Styela clava: one gene and its partner. The protein of the gene in region 2 purifies or fractionates together with the protein of the main gene of each other region. This does not show direct contact. Links are inferred from orthologs where the notes say so. Each region holds a gene or a part of one and is shown on either strand. Other genes may lie near its edges.

Region 1 (7,885 bases), on a different chromosome or scaffold from region 2:
ACAAGGTGCCCGAACTCATTGCAAAATTTTTTTCTGCTTCACACTGTTTCCCTCTGTTTTGCGCTCTTCCGCGCTGTTTCCCCACTGTTTTGCGGTGTTTCGCGTTGTATTCGGTAAGTAGTAAGACCGCAAAGATGCTATACCGGTACGCCACCATTTGGTAATGGTTGGCGCTGTAACCCCTACAAGTTTTACATTCGTAAATACCGGTATAAAAAGGATAAGTTTATTTCGGTAATTCTATCTCTAAAATCGAAATAAAATTGCAATGTAAGTTATAGACTACATTATAAGCTATAAGCGCTATATACGAATATTGGTAAATTCCGCACTAATTTTTACATTCACAAATATCATATTTACAAATGGTGGTGCATAGCGGTTGTTGGGAATGTAGAAGTTACGGCACGTTGGTGTATGGCGGTATTTACAAACAGTACCTACCTGCCATATCTGTAAATGCGAAACGGCGGTATTTACAAACAGTACCGGTATCTGTAAATGGCGGTGTGGTATGAGGGTATGATAGTCGTTGGGTATGAGTTACCGTATCAGCGTATATGGGTATTTACGAACGTTGAAGTTATATCGCTTACCGGTATTCTGATGTATACCGTAGCAGTAGGCGGGTCTGGTAGGTACCGGTACCGGTATAGTTTAGTGCCACATGCACTTCTAGTTGGCCTGGCTCAACAATTTTTGCATATGTCAATCCTAACCCCCACCTGACTACATCACCGAAAAATTACGTCATTTCGATGTCACAGTGGCGTAATAGGGCCCACCAAAGTATGCGGATGGTCGTCCAAAACGCGCAGACTACCGTACCGGTATCCCCCAAAATTGAGCAAGCTATTTCTTTCGTTCTCTCGCCACAACGATCACGATAGGAGAGAGATCGCCGGGTCTCATGTAGTTTCTTACCTAACATACTTCTAGTGGGCGTAGCATGACAATTTTTTCACGTATCAATCCTAACCCCCACCTGACTACACCATCCAAAAATTACGTCATTACGACGTCACAGTGACGTAATAGAGCCCTTCAAACTATACGAACTGCCATCCAAGACGCGCAACCGAGCACCCGAAATCGAACAGTTATTTCTCACGTTTTCTCGTCGAAACAATTCCAATAGGAGAGAGACCGATAACGTCAGTCAGTTCTTTATCGTCGGCGCCAATGCCATTTCGGTCGATCGGGCGTATATTTGGCAAGCTCTATGACGTGATTGTGATGTCGTAGTGATTTAATTTTTGGTTGGCGTAATCAGATAGGGGTTAGGATTGACATATCAAAAAATTGTTATGCTACGCCCACTAGATGTACGTTAGGTACGAAACTACACGAGACCCGAGATCGGCGCAGATCCCATTTCGGGCGATCGTAATTATACTTCGGCAAGCCCTATGACGTGATGGTGACGTCGTAGTGACGTAATTCTGGATGGCATAGTTAGGTGGGGGTTAGCAATAACATATGCAAAGTTTGTTATGCTAGGCCCACTGGAAGTACTTGTGGTACTAAACTATACTAGACCCGAGGTTTCTTTTCAGTTGATTATATTTTGAACGCTGTTTTTCCTTGTGTTCCGACTGGCTAATTTTTATCGATAATTGCTTTTCTGTTTTGACGCGAGTTTCGCGGGCTTCACTGCATCTGACGTGTCACGCGTGGCTCTTGCATACCGACTTTACGCGCCGAAGGACGTCCTTGTTTAATCTTATTATGATGTTAGTGGTTTCGCATTATCCGCTTTACTGACTTAGCGTGTGGGTGGCATTTGGTCTCGTTAGGTAGAGCTGTGTTGAGGGTATCGTAACCGGGGCCCCATATGACCATCGTCATCATTTATTGCTTTAATTGTTCATGTATTTTTATATTGCATTCCTATTAACTGCTTTCTAAATTTAGTTGCTATTTTTATTCTAATAACATTATCGTTCACGTTACCTGTGAGTTTCTTGTCGATTTAGGCCTTTGGAGCGTTACAATATGTAAGTTTATCTTCTATTAACTATCTGGTTATGCATTTTCTTTCCGCCCTCATCTTGTGATTGTTTATTGATTAATGATTATTTCATTTTATTTACAGTCAACCGTTTTACAATAAACGCGTATGACATGGAACATCTGTGTGCCTAAAGCTAAATCTGACAGGAATCTCATGTGGCATCACATTTTTTTAAAATACTACTTGAATTAAAAACGTGTACTTGATGTATGACTGGATGTCTGGGGTGTTGAAGCCAAATCGTATTATTGCATCAGATAATAAAATCCAAATTCATATTTTTGCACATTCAGCCAATACTATTAGAAATCCTTCACCAAATACAGAAATAACTGATCACACTAAATTCATGCATGCGATTATTCAGATTATATCCTATTTTCATTAGTTGAATCATACTATTTGAGTATAATATTAACATGGCCATTTCAGATATGTTTCCTTTATATACTGATATATCCTTGAGTTGTTTCCTATTGAAATTGATATATATACCGTACTGTGTCGAAGGGTAAGTAACTTTTTGTTTTCGATATTGCTTTTTAATAATCAGATTTCCTGAAAAAAAAGTTTTTCCATAGAATTAGAGAGTTTTTAGCAAAAAAACTGGTTACATAACGGCCATGATTCCTTTAGATTATTATCGAGACAAGCATGGCGTGATATGACCAATCTGCCTTCCCTGCTATCCCTGAATTGCAATTCAGATACATATGATCGGGGATCATAAGCCTATTATTTTCATGTAGTAGCTCTCTAATGAATCAACTATTTCACTGTGATTAATACACTTTCCAATGTCTAATAGATTGACAAATTGGAGAATGACATGGCAAAAAATATATTTTGGATTATCGTAATTTAGTTTGTTCCAGCCTCCCTGCTAAAATTATTGAATATTAGATTAAATAACAGGTTTCAATAACAGATAGAATATTTGGATTTATATACTTGTAACTTAATATATTTGGTAATGAATTCTTAATTTTTGGAATATTTGCTTTAGGAATTGGAAACTCATTTAAAAAAAATATACCCCGGTCCTGATTAGATTCTGAGATTACTCCGAAATTCGTCTTCTTTCTAATCAGATCACGTTTTTTGTACACGGTGTATAGAGATTTTTATAAACTAAGAGTGGAACAAACCAGAACCTGTGTCTATTTATCTATTGTAAGTGGGTGTATTGGGTGGTATCTGACTCAGATACTAAATGGTTGTATCGTTACCACCCAGTCATCTACCGAAAACTTTTCTTATCATTTATATTTACCTATTATATGTTTTCTGGTTTGACGAAAAAATAAATTCTCTCTCTCTATTACAGTATTCTGATATTACCGTTCATAGAGACGGATATGTTTATCTGTGGATGTCGGGACAACGGTAAATGAAAAACTTAACACGACTTTATAGAATGGCCAAATTTATTGATATTGGAGCAAATTTGACTGATCCTGTGTTTAGAGGAGTTTATAGAGGTAAAGAGAAGCATGAAGATGATTTTAAGGATGTCATTGATCGAGCGAAAAAAGTTGGATTGGATAAAATCATTGTAACTAGTGGATGCCTTCAGGATTGCGCGGATAGCTTGGAAATATGTAAAGCCAGTCAATTTTTGTTTACAACAGTGGGATGCCATCCTACCAGATGCCAAGAATTTGATGAACATGGTCCTGAAGTATATTATAAATCATTATTTGATATTGCCTCTAGCAATGGTGATGAAGTAGTAGCCATTGGTGAGTGTGGGTTAGATTATGATCGCTTGCATTTTTGTCCTAAGGAAACTCAGTTGAAGTATTTTGTTAAACAATTTGATTTGGCGGAACATACAGGCCTTCCAATGTTTTTACATTGCAGAAATGCACATGATGATTTTTTGGATATAATGCGACAGAATCGTAATAGAATATCTGGAGGTGTTGTTCATTCATTTGATGGCACACCTGAAGAAGCGAAAGCAATAATAGACTTAAATTTGTTTATAGGAATAAATGGATGCTCTTTAAAGCAAAAAGAAAATTTAATGTCCATTTGTTCTATCCCATCAGACAAACTTATGATTGAAACTGATGCACCGTGGTGTGAAATAAAACCAACGCATGCTGGGCATTCTTTTATTAAAACAAAGTTTCCAACGAAAAAGAAATGGGAAAAAGACCATTGTATAAAAGGTCGCAATGAACCGTGCAATATTGTTCAAGTATTAGAAGTAATGGCTGAAGCTAGAAAAGAGGATTTGACGGAACTGGCGACCACAATGTTTGAAAATACAAAAAAGTTATTTTTTGACAGGAAAAACGATGTCTGATTTTAGGATATAAAGCTAGATTTATCACTGAAAAAATCATCTTGCATTTTGACACATACAGTTCTATTTTTAAGTTTCATTATTGCACCAAAAAAGAATCAAGAGTTCATATTGACAATTGACATTCTAGAAACATTTTTTGTGTGCAAAAACTAGAATTTACTTCGACAACAACAATTAGACTTCCTGATGTTTTTGAAGCTGATTTTTGTATCGCTTGTTTTAAAAGTTCTATCAATATGAAGGTGATCTTTAAAATGATAATATTTGCCTATTTTGTGATATATTGTTTATTTCAGCAATTCTGCTCAGATGCTTTTTGATTTTAGTTAGATACATTTATCAATCCTTTTCATTTGGCCACTGATCATGGCTAATTAGACGATTATACTTAGTTACTGAGACTCTTTTTGAGTATCGTATTTGAAACCATTTTCAAAACAAATATAGATGAAAATGTAGTTCGAATGGGGATAGTTTGGGTTACATTTATCAATTTATTCAAAAACTCAATTTTCAGCTTCCTAAATTTGTTACATGACTTTCTAATATAGTATCATCTTTAAATAATAATGGCAACGAAAAATCGAAATCAGCCAACTCCTGAAGTTCTAATTAACGAATTGTGTGTATTATTGAGTGATGATAATCCAAGGCATTCCCAGAAGTTGACTGCATATGCATTAAGAATGCTATCGGACCTTGGAGACCAACCGATACCGAACTGCAATGAAAACACTGTTATTGATCGCATTAAACGAGATTTGGCCACAAGAGGAATGCAAGAAAAAGCTGCCAAAATAAGTGATCTTTATAGAAGACTTGCTGCTTCAGGTCGAATACAAAACCTTTGGTCTGTCTTATACCTTCTGAGGAGTTTGTCAAAAGATAAATCTAAAAATTACACAAAAAATACGTTGCTTTTTCGACAGGGCCTTGCTATATCGTCAACACCACTTATGGATTTGACTCCACCAGCAAGCCGTCTGCATTCCTCTGGGAATGCCAGTAGTGGATTTGGAACTGTTAATAGTCAAGGTACTATAAGATCATCAAATAGTGGTTTGCCAAGTAGCATTGATACCCCTGCAAACGATTTTCAAAGTATGTCTCTTGGTTCACGTCTTGCATGGGGAATAACACCTTCTACAGGATACAATTTGACATTGAAAACGGATCCAAGTACAACTGTACAAAGCAATGATGGAAAATATAAATCCAGTGTTCAGGACAAGTCAAGGGTTTCATCATCATCTTCTCATAGCAACAAGACAAAAGTTCCTGTGAATAGAATTGCAGACAGCACTCTACTTCGCGAACTTTTGCATGTTTTTCGTGGCACTGAAAGTGAAAATATTAAAATGAGTTCAAGAGAAGATGCATTTCGAATCACTCCGAAAGCAACTGTCGATAAGCGTACTGCTCAAATGGTTCATAAACTTGCAGAACTAGGCTGGTTGCATAACAGAATAAGAAAGTATATTGATAAACATAGTAAGGATTTAGCTTTCGGCTTAGTCGGTCAGGCTTTTTGTGCAGCATTGGTTCAAGAGTTGCAAGAGTATTACAGATTCTTATCTGTATTACAGTCCCAATCATACAAAGAAGATCAGGGTTTTGCAGGTGATGCTGGGAGTCGTCTAACTTTTTACAAACTCTTGGATTGGACATCTGAACCTAAAGAGAGACTGCAATGGGTCGCTATGCTCGTAGATAATTGTAAGGACAGGAAAGGTGGTGCCTTGGCATCCACTATTCATGCTTTTATGCAAACTGGTGATGTTAGCATGCGGTTGTTGACAAAACGTCTTTTGGTCATATCGACGCAACCAATTTTTTACATTTTGAGTCGATGGATTTATGATGGTGAACTACAGGACACATTTCATGAATTTTTTGTTGCAATGGATCCTACCGTCAACAACGATCGGTTGTGGTATGACAAGTATCACTTGAGACAATCTATGGTTCCATCATTTATGACAGACAGCCAAGCAAGAAAAATTTTACTTGTTGGAAAGTCTTTGAATTTTCTTAGGCTGGTTTGTCGTGATCGTACAGAAGTTGATATCAGAAACAAGCAAGAATTTCAGTTACCTGAAGATGCACATTTGGACAGTACGTTAGATTTTGGCACAGAGTTGCAAGAGAGAGTGGACGAAGCTTATGAGGCCACTAGTCGTTGCCTTTTGAATGTCCTGAGCGACAGATACAAACTTCTGACCCACCTTCGAGCAATGAGAAAATTCCTCTTACTTGGTCAGGGTGATTTTGTTCGACATTTACTAGACTTGTTGCATGACGATTTAGCGAGACCTGCTGGTCAATTGTACAGACATAACCTGAACGGCCTCGTTGAAGCTGCTGTCCGAGCCACAAATGCACAATTCGAAGATCAAGATGTTCAGTCTCGTTTGAACATACGTCTTCTGGAAATAAATCCAGGCGATACTGGATGGGATGTTTTCAGTCTTGATTATCACATCAATCAACCACTGAGTACAATTATCACTCCTGATATTATGCTACTTTATCTCAGATGCTTCAATTTTCTTTGGAGAGCAAAACGCATGGAACACAATCTTGCTACTATATGGACAGATACAATGGAACAATCCATGAGACTTTCTCCTCACTTGCCTGAACTTAGAGGAATACTTCACATGTGCCACACTCTTGCTGCTCAGATGGTTCATTTGGTTCACCAAATTCAGTACTATATTGCATTCGAGGTATGGGAATTATTTTGCGTTTCATGCGCTATGTGTATGTGTTTCTATCACATCATTTGAATTTGGGATTGGAATCATCAATCAAGATCTATAACCTGTAATGTCAATTGTCGACATAGGCTCAATGTTTTAACCACTTGGCCACTGCACTCAACAAATTTTTTACAGTGTTCGAAATTGTTATACTGATGTTTTTATGACAAACTGTTTCTTTTTTAAAGGTGCCTTATTCCTAATTTGGTTCAACTTTAACTTTCTTTTGTCATCTAGGTTTTGGAGTGTTCATGGGCAGACTTGCTGAAGAGGGTTGAATCTGCTAAAGACTTAGATGAAGTAATTGTTGCACACAGACAGTTTCTTGAAGCAATCATGAAGAGATGCTTACTTGATCAAGGATCGCAGAATTTATTGACGCAATTACGTTCAATTTTCGATCAGATTGTCTTATTCGAGACTTTAAAGGTAGAATCCTTTTATATTGGTTTTTATTGGTTGGTTTTTTCATTTGGAAAATTAATTATGCACTACTTTACATCAAGTTGTGGAAAGAGACTGAAATCTTTGGGTGTGAGATATACTCACTTGGCTAACACAAATAAGTCCCTGAATTCGTAATAGAACTAAAATAAGGAAAATCGGAATCAAATTATGGCCTAGCCTAGTACTCACACTACAGGAGTACCCAGTTTTGTTTCAGCCCTTATATATATCTAAGTAAGTAAGTGTTTATTTCGATTTTCCAATACAACAAAACAATACATGGCAAAACAAACAATTGTACGGAAAATCAGGAAAGGGGGCAAAATCTAAAAAAGATTTAAGACG
Region 2 (7,582 bases):
TGAAGTGTGTTTTTTGATATCATCAAAATGACTGGATAAAGAATCAGAATATTACTACAGACAGAAGAGAAGAATGTAATACAATAAAACTTTGAAGATTGAAACTCACTGGATGTTGAGTGCTTGAGTCATATACAAAATCAGCAGTTAAATATTTTCTGCTATTATCACCAGCAAGCCAGTATGGTGATGATGGAATAGGATGTTGACGAGGTCTTCTGGCGTTGTGCTGTTCACGCAGTGTTTTCCTGAATGACTCTGCTGAAGGAATCAAACCCAATGCAGATGATGGTCCCGTGGCTTTTTCTAGAGTACTTCGCAACTGTAGAAACAAAATTTGGCGTCGGAAAATTTTATCAAGGCAAATTTCTCCTTATGTAGGTGAGGATTAGGGCTGAAATTTGTCTAGATGAAATATTTTTCATGGGTGAATATTTCTGCAGAAGAAATTTTCCCAGCACCCAAACATGTTATGTCAGTTTTGAGATATAGGATATGATATATTTAGTTTAAGAAAAATTAATAAAAAGGATTGTATTCATAGGTATTTAGAATCAACCCTTATAATTGATACAATTTCTAATACTATGAATGAATTATTCAACTCAGTATCTCCGTATGATTTGTCATAAAATCATGGTTTCAAATTTCAATGAAAAAAGGTGCAATGTAGCAAATTTACAGTAATTTATTGGCAATTTAATTAATATATACCAATTCAACTTCCTGAAGAAAAAATATGATTCCAATTTTGCCTAATTTTATTTGAATTAAAATAAATTGGAAAATATTCGCATTCGTGTATTTTTTATCACACCATATCTAATTGAAGTTCTGAGTCAAGGATGTTCGAAACTACTAAACGAATATTTTAACAGATTCAAAATAATTGTATTCAATATTTTAAATTCTTGATTTTTGAATAATTCAGAATAATTAGGGTTAATTATGAGCGCTGTGTCCTGTGTGTCTGGCCGGTATTTTTGTGCAAACGATAAGCTGTAGCTAATAATTAACACATGTTCATTGTTCACTATAATTCTGGCTTTTCAAGTTCATGGACTAACGAGATGAAAATGTATTTTAGTCCGCGGAGGGTAGGGTTCTTGGAATTTTGATATTCGACATAGTTGACTAGAAAATGGCAGGAAATTATGATAAATTTGGAAACTATCGAAGCTTTTTTTCGGTCACACAAAACAACTGAGACCCAATACATTTAGACCCAATACATTTAATTCTACAATAGTAGATATTATGTTTTGTGAATGTGAATATTTATTCACCCCTATTCTGTTATATTCAAAATCAAATACCAACATTGGAATTTCCAAAATAAATTTCACCTCAGATATTTCTTTTGGGGTTAATTTTGATCCAGATGGTGGAAGAGTAATATTTGATGTACCAAGGATTGAAGATGGAGAAATAGGAATCATTTTAGCAGCTTCTCCTCTCTCCTCGGCATTTTTTGTCAAGGTGGCATGCAAACTTGGTTTGTTATTCAGGTTTGATAGAAAATGTATCATAGAATCCAAGTTGCGAACACTGAACGAAATAGATTTTTGAAAATAAACTCAAACATGAAAACAAAAAACTTTGTCATTTTAAATCTTGTACTGCCATAGGCAACAGCTGCATAAGCAGCTAGCATAGGTGACGATTTTGCGCAACATACAAAGTTGCTCGGAGTTAATTTTACCGAAACATAAATGGGTTTAAGTCACGAAGTGATGGGGCTGGTGGTCAAAGGTCAGACATTACACAGTGTATTCTCCGACTGGTTTATTTTGAAAATCTACATCATTACGAACAAACTGTTGCATTAATAATCATATTGCAATTGAATTATTATATTTTGACCATAAGGTAGGAGTGAAAAATCTGGAAATTTCCATTTGGAAATACCAGTATGTGGTAAAAGGGTTAAGAAACTAAAGGTTTTTAAATTTGCCTAGACCTATTCTACACCACATTTATCGCCAAATGTTAATATTTCAATGGCCGCTAGTCAAACACAACGGCGTTATAATATACAAATTTTGAAACGAAAAAGTGTTTATTAGCATACTTTTTGGACTTCAGTTCTTCATACTTTTGCAAGAATTCCTTGGGTTTGGAAGCTTTCTCACAAATTTTGACAGCAGAACTATGAGTGTTCACCTTCAATAAAAGTTATTATTCTCTTAAATGATTAGAACAGATTATAATTATCAGAATATACTTCAACACCATGAGTAATACATACTTGTGTTGTGACAAAAGGTGTTCGACTTTTCAGAAGAGTTTCAGTGTGTTCTTCAGCCTTCCCTTTGTCGACTCTGAATGATGATTAAACATTTAATATGAAAGATAGTTTAAAAATAATTTTCAACCGTAACACCATGATTTCATAAAGCATGAATATATATCTTCTTATTACTCTTTTTAGACACAAGATATTCTCAAATTACAAAACACAGTAGATTTATAATGGTGAATTTCCAATGTTCCATTCTAAGATTTTAATATGATGTTGTACAAAATCCATGGATTATAAATTAAATCATTTTTCTGATAAGATGGCATGGCATTATTATATGGCAAATCACGATCTCTGATCCAGCTACCAATCCATGTCATATAAGAGAATAGTATACAAGTTATTCGTCCCATATGCATGGATTTTACAGAAGAAGTCATAAACGACCAGCAGTTATTTATGTGAACCAACTTACGACAGCGGAGAGTCAAGCAATTCCATCACACTGAATTATACTCCATAGGACCTGTGAACTAATGCAGACTAATCAGAGGTGCAATTTCAAGCATGTTCTTAACGCTTATCATAATGTGCCAACCACTTGTGTTAGAGTAAGTTCAAAATTAAAATTTAAACAAATAATCAATACAGACTTACTTCAACAATTGTAAGAGTTGGTTGACATTATGATGAATTCGAAACTCTTCACTCATGTTGGAAATCAGATTTATATTGTTGTAATTTTATTTAAATCTAATGTATGATTTGAAAATATTAGAATGTGAAGGTTATCAAGTACACGTAAGGAACCAATATGAAATTTCCAGCAGAACTTGATTCAGACGATTCATATACAGTATACACAGAAAAAAATCAATGTATCAAAATTGAGGATCACATATTAGGAACTATTCAGAAAGAAGAAATGGCTGTAGTCAAACACTAATAAAATCTAAGGTTATCAGAAAATCATATTTTCGTTGGAAAGACTGAAAGGCAACAGTGGGTCTAGTGTCCGTAGTGTGGTGTAGTTTTAGTGGGTGTAGCGTAACGATATTTGCATATTTCTGACCCCCACCTGACGTCAACCAAAAATTCTATCACTGCGACAACAACAATCGCAAGAAAGATAGCCAGCTTCAGTGAGTTCATTGTCACAGACATCCTTACGGGCCATCGATGCTATATTTTGGCAAGCTTGATTATGTGATTGTGATGTCACAGTGACATAATTTTTGAATGACATAGTCAAGTAATAAGGTAAGGGTCAGGAATGATATATAAAAATTTTTATACCATTCACACTAGAAATACTGGTGGCACTAGACCCACAGCAGCCGTTCCATAGTTCAAGCTTCGTTCAGGATATTGTTTTGGGGATTTGCGGGTAAAAAATTTCATTTGGCTTTCGTGTCCATAGGCTGTATTTCAAATTCTTTAAAAAAATTCCATGATTACAGTTCATTTTTTTTGAAAATAGATGATGGGCAGAGTTAAATTGTAAGCAATATTCTGGTATATTATGTGGAAGTGCATGCATTCACTTCAATGAAAATTATATTCATGGTGGACTCATATTGTGTAATGATAGATATTAGAATACTGCAAATAATCAATATAAAATGCGGGGCATTTGGACCATGCATAAATGAACTAAAAATATCTGGAACAATATTTACGATAGATCCACATCAAGCAAACGTTGCATATAGTCACAAACATGGCTTCAAAATAGCAATGTCACATGCCCTCACTCAGAAATAAAGTAGACTGATCTCTGAGCGAAGGTACTACAGTAGGCCAGTAAAATGCCAACAGTTACTGAGACTATAAGGAATTATGGTGTTGAATAGCTCATTGGCAAACACAATATTAGGGTAATCAATCATAGAAAAGTACCGTATATATTTTAAATCACAAAATTTGGTCACTGCATTATCATTAAAGAAAATAACAAAATTATAAGACATGAAAAATTAAACTGCAAAATGAACTGAATTTGATAGTACTAATACCAAACATACAGCTCTCTTAAGTAATATAAGTAATTTTCATTTAAAAGACAAAAAAAAGACTTGATTATTCTCTGTCATCACTCATCGGTATAGTTTTAAGTCAGATTCGGCCATAGTTAGCATATCTAATGGCAGCAGTAGCAATGGTCATGTTGGTCATAATAATGCTTTAATAATTTATAATCACTGTACAGAACTTTTCTAATCAGGACGAGCTTGTGGCATAACAAATACCTTGCACAAATTTTGCATGAAATAGAACTTGAGCACTACAAACTGCGTTATAACATCAAAATTGAGTACAAAAGTTTTTCTCACGGCATGGTAAAGTAGCAGTATAGAGCATTGGGATGAGTTACGGTAATTACATGGCAGAATTGTTTTACTTGCTATCTTGATTTATTCAATTTGTTATTCAAAACTGATGAACTAAACCACATAACTTTTAAAAAACAATAGTGAAATAAAAACAAACTCACTATTCTAGAAATAATCATTTGTAGACTATTATTGAGAAAGTGCACCTTTTCCCACTAACAATAATGGATTTTGGTATATCAATATTACTTGCAAAATATAGCCATTTACATTATTGCCAGCAATACTACTAGATAGGTAGAATTCCACAATACATGATTACAAGTTATATAAAATGTACTGCTTCACCAATTGAAAATATTTTCACTTGAACTTTTTGATAGGATCAAAATGAAAAAACATGTTGAAAAACGAGCCCCAAGAAAATTTTCAGACCCAAAGATTCAGAAAAACTGGTATATTGCACAAAATGATGCAATTAATTAGGATTCAAAAAAACGAAGTACCGGTAATATATTCTACTGAAATCCAACAAGCTTCAGAACCCAAACCCATTTGTTGGGGATTTCAGTTGGCTTGATGCTGTTGAGGTTTACTGTAATACCATTTGACTTGATGGGCTCCCATGGCAAAGATATTGAAGTGCCTAGAAGAGAAACCTTTGAGGTTTCAGCTACGGGAATCGCAGAACCTAAAGTCAGAGATCCAGATTCCGGCCATGTAAAAAAAAATGCATACACTGTTCCTGGCTTTGCTGTATACCTGAGAAGGAAAAGATAAAGCAAAATTATTTTTTATTCAGGGGAATTTCCGTTTGCTCAAATTTGAAACAAATATACTAATTATATATTAGTACAGTGGGAAGCTAATAAAACAGCCTAATATTGCGAACCACGACCTCTCGTCCGGTTATCAGTCTATGGCGGGTACAGGAATAGTTAAATAGTTTCAGTTTTAGATGCATGGAACTGATAGTGGAAAATGCTATATTTGACCATTGGTTATGTAAACCACCCCGTGATGACGAGGAGAGCAGCAATACAGGGACACATAATTATTCCCCATGGGATTTGAACCTGCAAACCCCACGAGGTAATCGGAGGTGCGATGGCAAGCGCATTCCTAACGCATAATATGCATATTATGCTGAGCTGAAATTTACTTGTTACTAGTTACGTACCAAATTCCCTTAGACAGAGTATCATTCTGATGAGTCCAAGGTGTAGAACCATACACAGCTTCACCGATAACACCGAGCCATTCTCCCATCTGCCTCAATCTTTCCTGATAGAGAGCTGGAATAGTTCCTTCTTTAGTTGGTCCAACATTCATCAGCATGTTACCGCCACAACTGATAGTTGTCACAAAAGTCTATATGCCAAAATATGAGGTTAACTTCATATTCCCAGTGGTGTTAATCAAAGTCAAAATTTCAAACGAAAACTCAAAAAGGATTGAGTAGAATAATCACTACCTATAGACAATCATATAGTCGACTTTCATACACACAAGCTTTTGTTAGGAATAAATCGCTAAAAAAAATAGGTGCTTCTGTAGTATGTGCACCAAGATGACCAAGATGACCAAGATGACCAAGATGTTCAGGTAGTGCTCCATCTTGGTACAGATACTCTGGGAGCACCCCAAAATAAATCCTCAAAAGACCATTCTGGGAGACAACATATATTTTTAAACTTTTGAAATGTCAGCCAACTCATACACTGCTAAGTTAATTGAGTTAGGTTAGAAATAAAGAAGTTAATTGTTGTGGAGCAAAAAGATTCAAGTCACAGAGAAATGTGGTAGTTTGAAGAGAATAGCGTGTATGTACTTGCTCTTACTCAGGCAAAAAATAAAGAGGGTTAGTGTTAGTTTGATCTGAACAGGCATCTCCAAAGATTAAAGCACCTTTTTATCAGCTGCAGCTTCTCATTTATGGCCATATTACAAGGTTCTATACAAGCAGTCACTGATATCGGGCAATATGTGAAGATTTACTATTATTTGGATGGGCTGGGATCTTTCTGATTCGGCATTGTCTATTCAATTTATTATTTCCTGGGTGCATGGGGGCATGGCATTTGAACCAGAGATGGGTAATCTGATGTCAAAACAAAACAGTTAAGTCAACACTTTAAGCGTTAGGCCAATGTGCCACCCATACTATGTGTCTTTTCCCAATTTTGTTCCTTGTCATATCTCATTGAAGTAACAAGACACACAACATGGTAAGAAGTCAGCTTTGATTTTATTGGGTTATCTTGTCAATTATTGGGCGCTCCAGAAGCATGTGTAACAATATGGAGGAAACTAATTTTGTTTGCCTACTTTACATAAGTTGTGTACAGGGACTGATCACTATGGTCTATGGGCAAGGGGTGTATTCACTCGATCAACACAGACAGTCCCCGAACTCATGATAGAACTAAAATAAGAAAATCAGAATAAAATTATGGCCTAACCTTAACCTGGTACACATATTACAGGGAGATTGTATAGAGGGAAGAAGCGCAAACGACACACTCTCCCATAAACTATTCATTCGTACCTGGATAAGGTTCTCAATGGACAAATAATCAGAAAACTTTGCATTTCTTCTGAAACCCCAAGATAATCCATCAATTGTCATAGCATTTTCCCACTTCCTTGGTTGCAGAACACCAGGATTGTATCGATCATTGCAAGTGAAAAATCCACCGTGTTTACATGGGGTCAACATACCCCATCTGTCATTGGTTACAACAGTGCTCTGCACAGAAAAATTAGAAAAGCTTTGCATAAGACATCATAAACACTGGCACAGTGGTGGCGGAGAAGCATAGGGTTGCTATTGCGAGCATGGTTTTCACAAGATGCTCAAATTTTTATAAGAAAGGGGAACTGGACAAATTACCGTAGATATTTTTATTTGAGCATTGTAGTACATTGGCTTACTGGCCAAGTTTTTATTAGAAATACAGTTTGAGAAAAAATATGGTCATTGCTGAATTGAGCAAAACTTCAATTA

What was found. Proteins that work in one complex are often made in the same cells at the same time.
Region 1: the proteins of gamma-tubulin complex component 2-like (region 2) and gamma-tubulin complex component 3 homolog fractionate together in Drosophila melanogaster (co-fractionation; 3 studies listed by BioGRID). This does not show direct contact. The link is inferred for Styela clava from reciprocal best matches to the Drosophila melanogaster genes Grip84 and Grip91.

What each region holds. Positions count from the first base shown.
Region 1 is NC_135254.1:11,604,676-11,612,560, forward strand, and holds the start of gamma-tubulin complex component 3 homolog, read left to right. Parts: upstream 1-4,882; 5' UTR 4,883-4,900; coding exon 4,901-7,060; intron 7,061-7,330; coding exon 7,331-7,522; intron 7,523-7,885. Other genes in the region: deoxyribonuclease TATDN1-like, read left to right, coding at 3,405-4,328.
Region 2 is NC_135255.1:3,626,748-3,634,329, forward strand, and holds the start of gamma-tubulin complex component 2-like, read right to left. Parts: upstream 3,012-7,582; 5' UTR 2,956-3,011; coding exon 2,900-2,955; intron 2,322-2,899; coding exon 2,249-2,321; intron 2,164-2,248; coding exon 2,072-2,163; intron 1,549-2,071; coding exon 1,347-1,548; intron 323-1,346; coding exon 110-322; intron 1-109. Other genes in the region: alpha-L-fucosidase-like, read right to left, coding at 5,094-5,337, 5,756-5,946, 7,124-7,324.